2 linked regions of the Astyanax mexicanus genome follow. The protein of the gene in region 2 purifies or fractionates together with the protein of the main gene of each other region. This does not show direct contact. Links are inferred from orthologs where the notes say so. Each region holds a gene or a part of one and is shown on either strand. Other genes may lie near its edges.

Region 1 (6,693 bases), on a different chromosome or scaffold from region 2:
TAACACTGCATTTCAGAAAAAGAAACACCTACAGTAAAACATGGTGGTGGTAGTATGATGGTCTGGGACTGTTTTGCTGCTTCAGGACCTGGAAGACTTGCTGTGATAAACAGAACCATGTATTCCACTGTCTACCAAAAAGTTCTGAGGGAGAATATCCGGCCATATGTTTGTGACCTCAAGCTGAAAGAGCTTGGGTTCTCCAGCAGGACAATGACCCAGAACACACCACATCTGAATGGCTAAAGTGGCCTAGTCGAAGTCCTTCCCTAAATCTGATTTATATCCTTTGGTATGACCTTAAAAAGGCGGTTTATGCTTAAAACTTCCCCAATGTGGCCCCAGAGATGAGTATGCCAAAATTCTTCTACAGTTATACTTTTTAGTGGCAAAAACTTTTACACAGGGATTTTTTTCCCCTTAATTATAAAAACTTAGTTTAAAAACTGCATTTTGTGTTTACTTGTGTTGTCGTTGATTGATATTTAAATTTGCATTACCACAATATGTGTCTTAAATTTGGTTCATAGTAGCATCTTTTTATAAAGCAGGATATTTTGTTTTTATGTTTTTGGCATTATATTTAACATACTGTATATTGTGGCATTATAATGAGCTGATGCCGTCTTATTGGCACAAGCAGCTGATCCTGACCCTGAAGGCCTTTGCTGGAAAGTTATTATCAGTCCAGTTTTAGTATTTTCTCACAAATGAACAAAGCAAAAATTTTGCATATTCACACAGATATTAGGCATGAAGTCAATAGACTTTGCAGAGATAGGATGTGCACCAAAACATTAATGTCTATCACATCCACAGGGTCTTAATTTGGCCTTGCCTACAACAAAATAAAACAGTGCTTACATTTCCAACGACACAAAACATGGAACACTGCCAGCAGGAGATAAACAACAATGCTGGGAAATCTCAAGCCAACTGTAGCCAACTGTCCTTTAACGTTGTTTTTATTTCCACTAAAGGTTGGTCGAAAACTTGAAAAAACTTTTAAGTTGCATTTCTTTCAATTAATTGTGAATTAATTGTGTGATATGTGTTATATTATGGTAACACATCATAATGTAGTTCTGATGTTAAAATTAAGCTGCATCCAATTACACACACTAATAACATTGGGTGTATAGTACTTACTAGTCATAATAGAGTGGGTTTTTTACCAATGAAATGCTGTGTGTCATGATCAGAACATCTATAGAACCTGTTGGATCAAGTCAATGGCAACCTAAATCATATGATAAAAGAATTGCCTCCGTTTTTTTTCTCGTGCACATGTTAACAACTTACATAAACTTGGAGGATGGAAATCCCTCTACTAAACTAGAACACAGAGATTAGATAGAACTTGAATGTGATTACTTGTATACACTTTATTCATCTACGTCACCATCGTCTACCAAAACGAGGATGTGGGGTATGGAAGTAGCATTGGAAAACTGGGTACTAGCAATGCTAACTCACTGCTGCGTTCCCAAATAACGTACACTTCTTCAAAAATAAATAAATCTTATAAAGTTCAAATCTTCCATAATTCCTCAAAACATCCTGTACTTTACCCTGAATGGATTCACAAAATCAGTAGAGATTGCCATTTTAATTTAAGTATGTACGATACTATGCTAGCTATCTAGCTAAGCTAGCCATTTTGGTATTACCCAGCTAGCCAATCTAGCCAGATGAATGTTAGCAGAGAGACAACAGGCTAGCTAAACCTGGGTCTCTAGCTTTGATTGATGAACCCTGAACTGGTCATTTGGCAATGGTTAATTTCAAGTGTGTGAGGTTAGTTGTCCACACAGGCGCTGCCATTTAAACTGAAGGATATTCTGCCTGTTCCCTCACTGCCTTGGAGTTTCCAGTTTAGAAGAGTACCCCGTCTCATTTTTCATTTCAACATGAGCGTAGAGTAAATAAGGTGCATGGTATGTCTTTGAAAGATGAAAAAAGATAATTGGTAGAGAACAACTCAATACTTTGAACAACTTTAACACAAGTTAAAAAGGGAGGCATAATTTTAATTGCTGGCTAATCTCGGCATCCATAACCACAAAAAAATGTCTATCAGCTCCAGACGGTCTTACCTAGTTACTTTTTGATGCAAAACCTGCAACACTGATAGGACAAATTTAAAGAGTAAAAAAGAGAATTCTGAAGCCAACAGAGCTGAGCACAGTGTCCTTCAGAGTACTTTCTTTTCTGTACAGTCTGTACAGAGTGTATTCAGGCTTTATGCTTGGGTGAGTGCACTTGAGAGACATAGGGAGACATACAGCTTTTACCTTTTTACCAGCAGAATGGAAAGAAATGATGGAGGCCTAGCTTCTTTTTAACTTTTCTACTGTTATTTGACTTTTCCGCCCACCTGACCTTCTGCATGCTTGAAATGTAAATAGATTTGTACTACTAGTTAACTAACTAGAAGAGTCTTGTGACCTGGGGTTTCATGGAATTTTATGGAAGAGGGAAACACTGGGTTACTGAGTCACAGGAGAGGACAGTGTAGTGTGTGTGTGTGTGTGTGTGTGTGTGTGTGTTTGCCAGTAACACTGCAGGCCAGCCTCTCCTGAAACAGCACTTCAGTGGTCGCACGTCAGAACGTGTCGTCAGCAGTCAGCAGTGACTTTACAGGCTGAAGTGTTGATGCCAGTTTTGCATTCAGATACAGTAAGACCACTTGTTAGAAGCTCTAAACTCGCCAGCTTCCTTCCAGCATCAACTTAAACTCTCTGTTTATATGTTTAAAATGTTTGTTGGGTCTTTCGGTAAGTAGAAAACACAGGACACAGCCTCAGTTCAGTGAAGTTAGTTACCTAGCTAACAAGCTAACGCTAGTTAACTAGCTAACTAGTTAGCCTGGCGTTACCTTGGTTACCACATATTGGTCAAAATAAGTAGTTAGCTAGTTAGCTAACTAGTAGCCTAGCCTTCACTGTAAGTTATACAGTGATACAGTTCACGTATAACTTAGATAACCTAGTTAGCTAACTAACCTAGCCAGTTTTATCGTTTAAAATGTTTCAAACTCACAAGTAAACCCATATACCGGCTTTTTTTACTTTCTGACCTAAAGAACAGCGCTGTGTCTAACTAAACCCTCTTCAGCACCTCAGCGGAGACCCCGCTTTCCCATGGCGGTTCTAACGTTGCTAACGTTAGTTAACGACGAGTAAAACGCAATAGAAAAGTTCGTTTAACATTTTCTATCCGCACTTATTTACTTATCATTCGCTCCACACTTTATCTAAGCTAGCTCACTAGCTAAGCTACTTCCCAAGCGCACCGAGGAACCCAGCGCACATGCGGTGTGAGGAGAGTAACGTTACCCGGTGAGTTTTTACCTTCTGGTCCACGATGGAGCACGCCATTTCTCGGACCTGCGCTAGACTGAAGTCCCCCGAGTCCAGCAGCACCGGCTCCCGGCTCAGCCCGATCTGGATGTGGAAGGAAACGCCCTGGGAGCCCGGGACGGGGCTGGGCGCCCGGATCACCGGAGGGACACTCATGAGAATCCCCGAGCGGTCACGGCTGGACAGCGGCTGGTCAGTCTGCTCTCAGTCTCGGTCAAACGCGCTCCGCTTCTCGGAGGAAAATAATAAATACAAACTTCGACTCGCCCCCCCTCCAAAAAAACAGAAACACACAGCACAGTGTCTGTCCTAGAGGTAAAACGACGCGGGGAAATATATTATAGCTAATAAACCTGACCGCATTTAGAAGCTGTGAAACGCAAAGCGCTTTTTTGGTCATTGAGAAGCGATGCTGATGGAGCCATAGACGTCAGATATGTTTAATGTTGGGCTCTGATAGACACCGCCTCCTGCCTGTTCCGGTTATCAGAGCGAGGTGCCTAACGCTGAGATTTATCTGCCTGGGCTTTAGAACTGTTACTCAGATGTCTGTCCATTAAAGTATTAACAGTATTAAAGTATTTAGAGCTTCTTTTCATTTCTATCTATTTTACCGGAATGATTTGCTTGCTTTAAACGCTACTGATTTAAAGCCTGTTTATTATTTTAACAGTTATACATGCAGACTCAAAAGAACGCACACAGTAAAGTTATTCAGACTGTGAAATAAGTAGTAAGTAAGTAAGTAAAATAAAAAGTCAGCTTAAGTTTGATTAATTAATAAACTGAACTGTTAGTAGACTTATAAAGTGGGAAAATATTTTTAGTAGGAATTCAATTGTTTGACTGATGCCCTAACAGGTGTCATTGTAAAGAGATAATAAGTTATTCACTTTGGAGGTGTTAATGTTATGGCTGTTCAGTGTTTAATATACCACATACACAGTCCCATATTAACTGTGGGTACATTAACTACCAAACACAGTCCCATATTATATAACACACGTTCACTGCAATGACGGGACAGTGTTTTTAGTAAAATGGGACTGTGCTTTTTAATGTAGTTAATATTGGACTATGTATTTGAAATACATCATGACAGTGACAGTGTGTTTGATAATATGCGATGGTCTTTGGCAACATAGCCACAGTGTATTTTAAATATATAACAAACACACTGTCCCAAATTACCAAAATGCACTGCCATTTAACCATACAAAACGTCCCATATTAACAAACACAGTACCATCATGATGGGACAGTGTATTTGGTAACATAGGACTGTATTTGGTAGCCACAGTTTTTATTTATTTTGTATTTTATATATAACAAACACACTGTCCCATATTATCAAACACACTGCTCCATATTACTGCACAATACACTGTCCCATATTACCAGAAATAAACTGTCCTATGCTACCAAACACTGTCCCATATTACTACACAATACAGTGTCTATATTACCAAAATGCACCGTCCTATACTACCAAACTCATTGTCCCATATTATCAAACACAGTCCCATATTACCAAAACATACAGTCCCATATTACCAAAACACACAGTCCCATATTACCAAACACACTTTCCTGTATTACTAAACAATACATTGTCTCATAGTAGCAAATATACTTATATATTATCATATAACACACAGTCCCACTCTAACATTTTAATTCTAGTTATGCATTGCATGACAGCATCCACTTGGCAAGTTGTATATTTGACCTGATTTCTGGACAAGGTTGCTGTAAATCCTGTATATGTTTATTAATGTAGACATGTATGGCTTTCAGAGAAGCCTATAATAAGTTGTTACAGATTGTGAGGTAGTAATAAAAGACACTGTATACTTATTTTTTTACAGTTTCACTTCTAGTTTGATTATTCTGTAAACTGGAAAAAGGAAATACTGAAAGTAGGCCTTATAAGGAATAACAATTAAACCAGACTAAACAAAGTGCATCAGTGGGCCTTGGGCACCCATATCCTGTCACTGGTTCACAGGTTGCCCTTCCTTTTTTTGGTAGGTAGTGACATCTGCATAGCAGGAACATCCCACATGACCTGCAAGTTCTCTATCAAAGTGTTTCTATCCATCACAGTTTAAGCCTGATCAGACTTGTTTAGATTCTAAAATGTGCCATTTTCTTTCTTCTACCACATCAACAACTGACTGTTCTATTGCTGCCTAATTTTAGCACCTTAGCATCCACCTAGCAACAACTTAACAAACACTTCAGATATCAGAGCATCCATTAAGAAACACCACAGAAACCAATTTGGATACCTTAACAACCATCTCTCATGATACTGTAGTAACCAGTTAGTAACAGCATAGCAACCACTAAGCAATACAACCAGTTACCACCCCTGTAACTACGCAACCATCCTGCACAAGTGCAACGTATCAGTAAAAGTTTTACCTCATAGAATTTGAGTTTTTTTTTATCTCATCTTTATTTCATAATGTATCATATTCTGTTATCATTCTGTTATCTCGCTACCTGTCTGTCTGTCTGTTCCTTTGTCTGTCTGTCTTTGTAGAGATACCAATTTATACTACTTTTGGAAATTCCCAAATACCATAATTCTTCTCAGCAGCATATGGTAAGGCTTAGGGTTTATAAGGTCATTTTTTTTAGCCATTTTATCACTTTTTCTGTATGATTTGTACTAAGACATTTGCAGGTATTGAGGACTATGTTTAATTGGATGTGTATTCATTTACATTTTTATTACTTTACCTATTTATGTGTATTTAATGATTTTTTAAGAAATGTAATATAAATATATCATATATCAGACGAACACAGTAATATTTGAGACGTTAAAAATAACTTTATAGCTCTTTGACCCTTGATCTACATGCACAGGTGAATTCAATCATGTGAAAGGGTTAAGGTGGCCAAATGCAATTTGTCTCCTCTTTGCAAAATCCTCTGTTTTCTCCTCTGTTCAAAATCTACCAAGGCATTCATGCAGAGTAACAAGTACAACGTTCTGGAATGGCCATCTGAAACCTGACTGAACTGGAGATGTTTTGTAAAGATGAATGGTCTAAAATGCTTCCAACCGGAAGACAGACTCTCATTGGAAGCTATAGGAAGTGTTTAAAGGCTGTTATTTTTGCAAAAGGAGGATCTACTAAATATTGATGTAATTTATGCACCTGCCTAATTTGGTTTTAAGAATTATTGCACACTGTCTTTAAAGCATATGAACTTCATTTCACTTCTCATATATCACAGTCTTTGTCTGCTATATGATATATTTAACTGAAATTGTTGATATGAACAACCAATGATTTATAAAGGAAAATCATTAAAA
Region 2 (6,693 bases):
TCCAATTTCACCACCAAAAAAGAACAAAAAAATAAAAAATAAAGGAGAGAGAGAAAGAGAGAAAGAGAGAGAAAAGCATAGAGGAAAAATAAATAAATAAATAATACCAATATATACATGTACTTATATTTCTTAATTCATAAAGGCACCTAAAATAGCAAAACTTGATAGTAAAGAAAATAATTTATTCTCAGTTCTCAAAAGGGAGAACTGGTCAATTTATGGATATTCCTCAGAAAGAGTTCAAATATTCAGCTACATAAACAGCAGATGCTGATTTCTGATGGTCTACATCCCCATCTAAAAGAACCAGTCAGTCAATTGCCAGTGATCTGCAGCTCCACTGAAGAGCACAGGCTGAAAGGCTGTCTGCACTGTAGTACTAATGTGTATTGAGGCCCAGTGGAGAGGTCGGGGAGGTCAGCTGGGTCTGTACAGATGCTCCATATTAGTTTGGTCCAAACAAAGTCCGACTAGACACAACAGAACCAGCACGCAGCCACCGCACAACAACAACCACCACACCATCAACACACAACATTCATCAACTTCAAACACTAGCGGATATAAATTCTCAAAACATCACTTATTAAACTTCTTTTGACCCTCTCTCTCTCTCATTATTTTTCTTCTCTGTTCCCTTGTCTAAAATACACACACACACACACTGTTGCTGGTTATGTTACACTGATTACAAAGAACACACACATTGTTATGTTATGTTTTACTGCAGCCAAGTAATGCAAAACTAAACCCCCATCATTTGACCCTAACTCTATACCCAACCCAACATCTAACCCTAAATCCAAATCTAACTCTAACTCCCTAAATCCAAACCCAAACCCTTTATCCAACCATAAACCTTACATCTAATCTCAACCTTAAACCCAAATTTATAACTACATATATAATTAAACCTTAACTTACACCCAACCTTACATCCATCACTAAACCCCAACCCTACATCTATCCCTAAAACTAAACCCCAACCTCAAGTCTATCCATAAACTTAATTCTCTAAACTGAACCCCAACGCTATACTCAACCCTACATCCATCTCTAAACCAAACCCCCAAACCTATACTCAACCCTACCTCTATCTCTAAACTGAACCCGAATGCTATACCCAACAGTCATCTAATCTTAAACCAAACCCCTTAAATCTATATTGGGCTCTACATCCATCTCTAAACCTAACCCCAACACTTTACCCAACCCTACATCCGTCTCTAAACCAAACCCCAACGCTATATCCAACAGTCATCTGATCCTAAAACAAACCCCTAAACCATATACCTAAGCCTACATCTATCTCTTAACCAAAAACACTATACCCAACCGTCTTTTAATCCTAAACCAAACCTCCAAACCTATACCTAACCCCAAACCTATACCCAAATTTAACCCAACATCTGACCCTAAACCTAACCCCAAGCCTACATCTATCTCTAAACCTAACCCCAACCCCAAAAACTAACCATGAACTTATTCTATAACCAATTAAAATCTTATTCTAAAATATACCCCAGCCCTATAACAAATCCTAACTCAAAATATAATTTTGCATGTATCCCTAATCCTAAAACTAACATCCTAGTACTAAGTCTACCCCCGACCCTAAGCTCTAGTCTAAAATTTAACCTTAGAAACTTTAAAGCTACGGTTGTGCTGTTTTACTAGTTTTGATGTATTAGTGAAGAAAGCCAAAAATGTCCTCACTTCTACAAATCTGTCAGACAGGCGGATTGACACACACACACACACTCACACACACTCACCAGTGCTGCTCATGTTGTTGGAGTGGTTGTGGGGCAGCAGGTCGGTGGGCTGCTCCCGGCTGGCTGTGCTGTGTGTGTCTGTGGAGAAGCAGGATTCTGTCTCATAGATGGTCTGCAACATCGCGCACAGCCCCGGAACTGTCGGTCGCAAGAGCATGCCAGTGTGTCCCAGATTCAAAACACACACATATACACACACACACACACCCTCACACACAATCACGGGTACTCCGGTACACCAACACGGCCACCCGCAGCTCACACGCCGCGCGGCTCAACCGCCGAACGCCACCTTGCTATGTCCGGCGTTCCGATCAGCATCAGAATGTGGGAGAAAAAAAGAAATAAATCACAGCGGTATTCCCAACAGAATTCCCAGTCTGTGCCACTGCTTCTTAGCTGTGGTCAGGAGCGCACTGACAGCGTGGAGAAAGGTCCACTTTGTGCGTTAGTCCCATGATTCCACGGATTACCCTCTCACAGAGTCAATGCCAAGTCCCTTCCCTTCAGTCTCCGCTTAGAAGATTCCCATTAGCTCCCAGTTCAGCTCTGGGATGAAGCGGGAAAGAGACGTTAATTCATGCTGAGGCTCAAACGAGAGCGTCTGTCATTATTCCGTTCACTACTGCGCGCTCGTATCCGGCACGGTTCCTGAGCTGTGTCTGCGGTAAGTCCGGAGTTTGACTGGATGCCTTCTTTTCCTTGCGGTGAGAGCAGCAAATGAGATCACAGAGAGAGAGAGAGAGAGAGAGAGAGGGTGAGAGAGAGAGAGACGGAGGGGGTGCAGAGCGAGAATTAGAGAGAGAGAGAGAGAGTAAGAGGTAGGGGAAAAGGGAAAGAGAAACAGACAGAGTAAAGGAGAGAGAGTGAGATAGAACTAGCAGCAGACAAGAAATGGAGAGAGGGAGAGAGAAAGAAGGATTGAAAGAGAAAGAGAAAAAACAGAGAGAGTGAATGAGTGAGAGAAAGCAAGATATATAACCTGGATAAATAGAGAAAGAGAGACAGAGCAAGAGAGGTAGAAACAGAGAGAGGGAGAGAAACGGACGGGGTGTGGAAAGAGAGAGAGAGAGAAAGAGAGAAAGAGTAAGAGGTTAAGAGGGCAATAGAAAGAGAAACAGAGAGAGAAAGAGTGCAGACAAGAAGTAGAGAGAGAGATGAAGGGGACAGAGACGTGTGAGTAAGGTTGGGAGAAAGAGAAAGAGAAAAATGAGAGATTGAGAAGAATGGAGGTGAAGAATAGAGAGAATGAGAGAGAGACTGAGAAGCTACAGTAGTTCCCAAAAAATAAAAGCACGTTGAGCCACCGCGGTCGATCTGTCGCGGTCGTTCTGTCGCGGTCGAGTCGCACGAAAAAAACCCAAACAGCCTCTCTGTCCTCCGCTAGTTTGGATTTGTTTGGTTGCAACTGATGCCCACACCCTCCCTCTGCTGCATGTGGGGGGCACAGGAGTGATCAAGCGAGCGAGAGAGCAATAGAGAGCGAGGGAGAGAGAGAAAGAGAGAGAGAGAAAGAGAGAGCAGCAGAGTGGAGCCGTGGAGTTTACAAACAGACTGGGCTGCTTCACAGAGCTGGAAATAGCTGCCGAGCGACAGGGGAGGGGCGGGGCGAGGATAAAAATAGAGGCAGGAGCTGAGAGCCTGGGGAGAGAGAGGGAGAGAGAGAGAGAGGAGGGAGGGTGAAAGAGAAGAAAGAGAGGGGGGGGGTAGAGTGGAAGAGAAGACAGAGAGAGAAAGAGAGAGAGAGTGAGAAAGAGGTGTGTGTTTGTGTTTGCATGTGTTTGTGTGTAAGGGAAAGCAGGGGGAGCTCGATATTTGAAAGAGAGAGAGGATACAATAAGAGAGAGAGAAAAAAGAGAAAGAGAGAAAGACAGAACAAGAAAAGAAAAAGAAAAGAAAATGAGTGCATGAGTGAGAGAGAAATAGAAGTAATAGAGAGAGAGTGAGAGGTGTATTAGAGATCTAGAGATCTAGACATGAAAAAAGAAAGAGAGGAAAAGTGAGACAGTACAAAAAAGAGTAAGCATGTGAGATAAAGGGAGAGAAAGAGAGAGAGAGGTCCAGATAGAGGAGATAGAAACGAGGGAAAGGTAGAACAGAAGAGAACACAAGAGATGCACAAGAGAATGAGAGAGAGAAAGAGAGAATAAGAGGTAAAGCTCTGTCTATCATGCAGATCCAAACCCTTTGTGCATTACAATGGACATCATGTATTTCCTTTTTTTATGTTGTGTTGCACATAATACTAATTGATTTACAAGCCAATGAAAAAGTAGCTTAGCCCCGCCCACTTCACTGAAAAAAAACAACAACTTCAAATCTGGCATTAGAGCGTGGCAGCACTCTACCAGCCAACAAGACAAAGTAATAAGAGTAATTTAAGAGTAATAAGAGTAATTTTATGTGATTTAGAGTTAAATGCTGTGTAGGAATGATTTAACATAAAAAAGGCCAATATCAAAAATAAAATAAAAATGTTACACAGGCTTCCAATACAATAGACATTTAAAAAAACAAATATTATATTTATATGGATTTAACTGGACTTCATATTAGATTATTAGATTCTTCCTTTTTTGTGCATTTTGTGCAAAAAAAAAAAAGATATATGTGCGAGGAAGATCAGAGAGAGAAAGAGAGGTGAATGTAGACTAAATCTATTGCAAGACACAGAGAGAGATAGAGAGAGCGAGAGAGAAAGGAGAGAATCAGAGAGAGGGATGTGTCTGTAACAGAGTGCAAGAAAGACTCCCTGAGAGAGAGAGAGAATAGCACAGAACAGAGAGAAAAAAGTAAGAAAGAAAGAAAGAAAGATAGATATGCGCAAGAAAGAGAAAGATTAGAGACAGAGAATGAGAGGTGAACGCAGACTACATCTATTGCAAGAGAGAGAGAGAGAGAGAGAATAGAACAAGAATGAAAGAAAGAAAGAAAGAAAGAAAGAATGAAAGAACGAAAGATGTACAAGAAAGAGAAAGATCAGAGGAAGAGAATGAGCGGAGAACGCAGACTAAATCTATTGCAAGAGAGAGAGAGAGAGAGAGAGAGTCAGAGAGAGAGAGAGAAAATAGCACAGAAGAAAGAAAGAAAGGAGTGTGTAACTGAGTTAGACTTGAAAAAAGAAAGAGAAGAAAAGTGAGAGAGTGAAAGAAAGAGTAGGCATGTGCAATTGTATGTGTGTGGGAAAGAGAGAGAAAACAAGGCAGAGAGAGAGATAGCACAGAAGAGAAGAAAGACAGAGAAAGAGAGAGATGCGCGAGAGGGAGGCAGAGAGAGAGATAGAGAGAGAGAGAATGAGGTAAAGGTCTCTTTATCATGCAGATAAAATGAAGCCAGTTTAAATCTATTGCTTCCTAAAGCCAACAGGAGGCAGAGTGATCAAGAGGAGCTCAGACAGTGCCACTAAGGCAGACAATGGCAGTGGACAGGAAGGTAAACACACACACATACACACACACACACACATACACACACACACACACACACACACACACACACACACACACACACACACACACACACACACACACACACACAGGGCTATAGAGGCAGCTTGTCATTCTCCAGGTCAGAACCGCTTGATTAGTCAAACCTGATTAGTCAACATCTATTTCTGCCATCCCCTCAGTCACTGTCTGAAAGCATGTTTTACCTCACCTGCTAAATTCTGCACAACTGTAAATGATGTAACCCTGTTGCCCAGTCTTACTCTGCCTTAACACAACATAACAAGTTCCCACATCAAATTAAATAATGACCGGGATTAGTTTTTATTTTAGAGGGAAGTCTGTGAAAAATATTTCACACTTCTCCTCAGTGATTAAACTCTTGCATCCGAACTGCAAGTGAAAAAAGAGGAGGACCAGTAATTTTTTTTTAGGATTTCTAGGTCACATGACATAGCGTTCAGTAGCTCCTCCATTTCCACTCGCTGTTGTGTTTATACGTGGATCTCCATGGAAGCGTGCACACAAAGTTTAATTACAGTGTTTGGCAGTGGACAAATAGCTATTTTATTAAATGCGATGTTTGAGCCACCACTGACTCAATTTACTTTCATTTAAACGGCCCATATTCTACATTTTTTTTATTAAGATTCACTTGGAATATCTGTGTGGTTTTAGGCTCAAAACCTCTCTATTTCCCTCAGAATCAAACAGAATGATTCTGTTACTGGCCCTTTAATGCAATTTTATGGAGAATTATGGGCTCCCCCTACAGTGTGGAAACAGAATTTGCGCTTTTGAACTGCCCGAGAGACGTAATAATCGAGGAGAATCAGCACTGTTAAATAATGCTCAACATGGTTATGGATTGTTACGGATAAAGTCTAGAAAATACATACTGCCCAGTGTTGTTGCAAAGATAGATGCACAGTGAAGAGATCTGCTGACTTGCCACAGACAGAAGTTACAGATCCCTCTGTCAGACAAAGTCTGCTGATTAATCCTACTGTGTAAGAGGATCTTAACAAAATGACAATAATGGCATCTTATTAAATTTGCAGGTTTCGAGAGCACTTTAGAAAGTTGCTGACCACAACAAAACGAGAAACGAGAAACAGCAGCATATTAGGTTTATAACCACAATGAGTATAAGGATTGGATTTTAAATGGAAGACACGGTTAAGGTTAGGCTTAGGACCAGGTTTAAAATTTAAGGCAAAGTCTGCTGGTTAATCCCACAGTGCACTGTAAGAGGTTGTAAAAATGACTGAAATGACAGATCTTCAACTGATCTATTGGGTGGGCTCTTATTGTACTTATTGTACCTCCAACTTCTTTTCAATACACAGCTCTATCTAGGGCTGCACAATTTATATTGTGTCTCTTCTTGCTCTTTAAGGTCTCCACAAACATCAGTGTTCAACTGCAGGGCTTTGCATCCTTAACGACATGAATTTAGATTAATGCTT

What was found.
Region 1: the proteins of hdac5 (region 2) and prkd1 purify together in Homo sapiens (affinity purification with western blotting; 4 studies listed by BioGRID, with this or other methods). This does not show direct contact. The link is inferred for Astyanax mexicanus from reciprocal best matches to the Homo sapiens genes HDAC5 and PRKD1.

The regions. Positions count from the first base shown.
Region 1 is NC_064421.1:45,647,073-45,653,765, reverse strand, and holds the start of prkd1 (serine/threonine-protein kinase D1), read right to left. Parts: upstream 3,877-6,693; 5' UTR 3,519-3,876; coding exon 3,354-3,518; intron 1-3,353.
Region 2 is NC_064410.1:7,240,473-7,247,165, forward strand, and holds the start of hdac5 (histone deacetylase 5), read right to left. Parts: upstream 3,713-6,693; 5' UTR 1,936-3,712; coding exon 1,779-1,935; intron 1-1,778. UniProt on the Homo sapiens protein: Responsible for the deacetylation of lysine residues on the N-terminal part of the core histones (H2A, H2B, H3 and H4).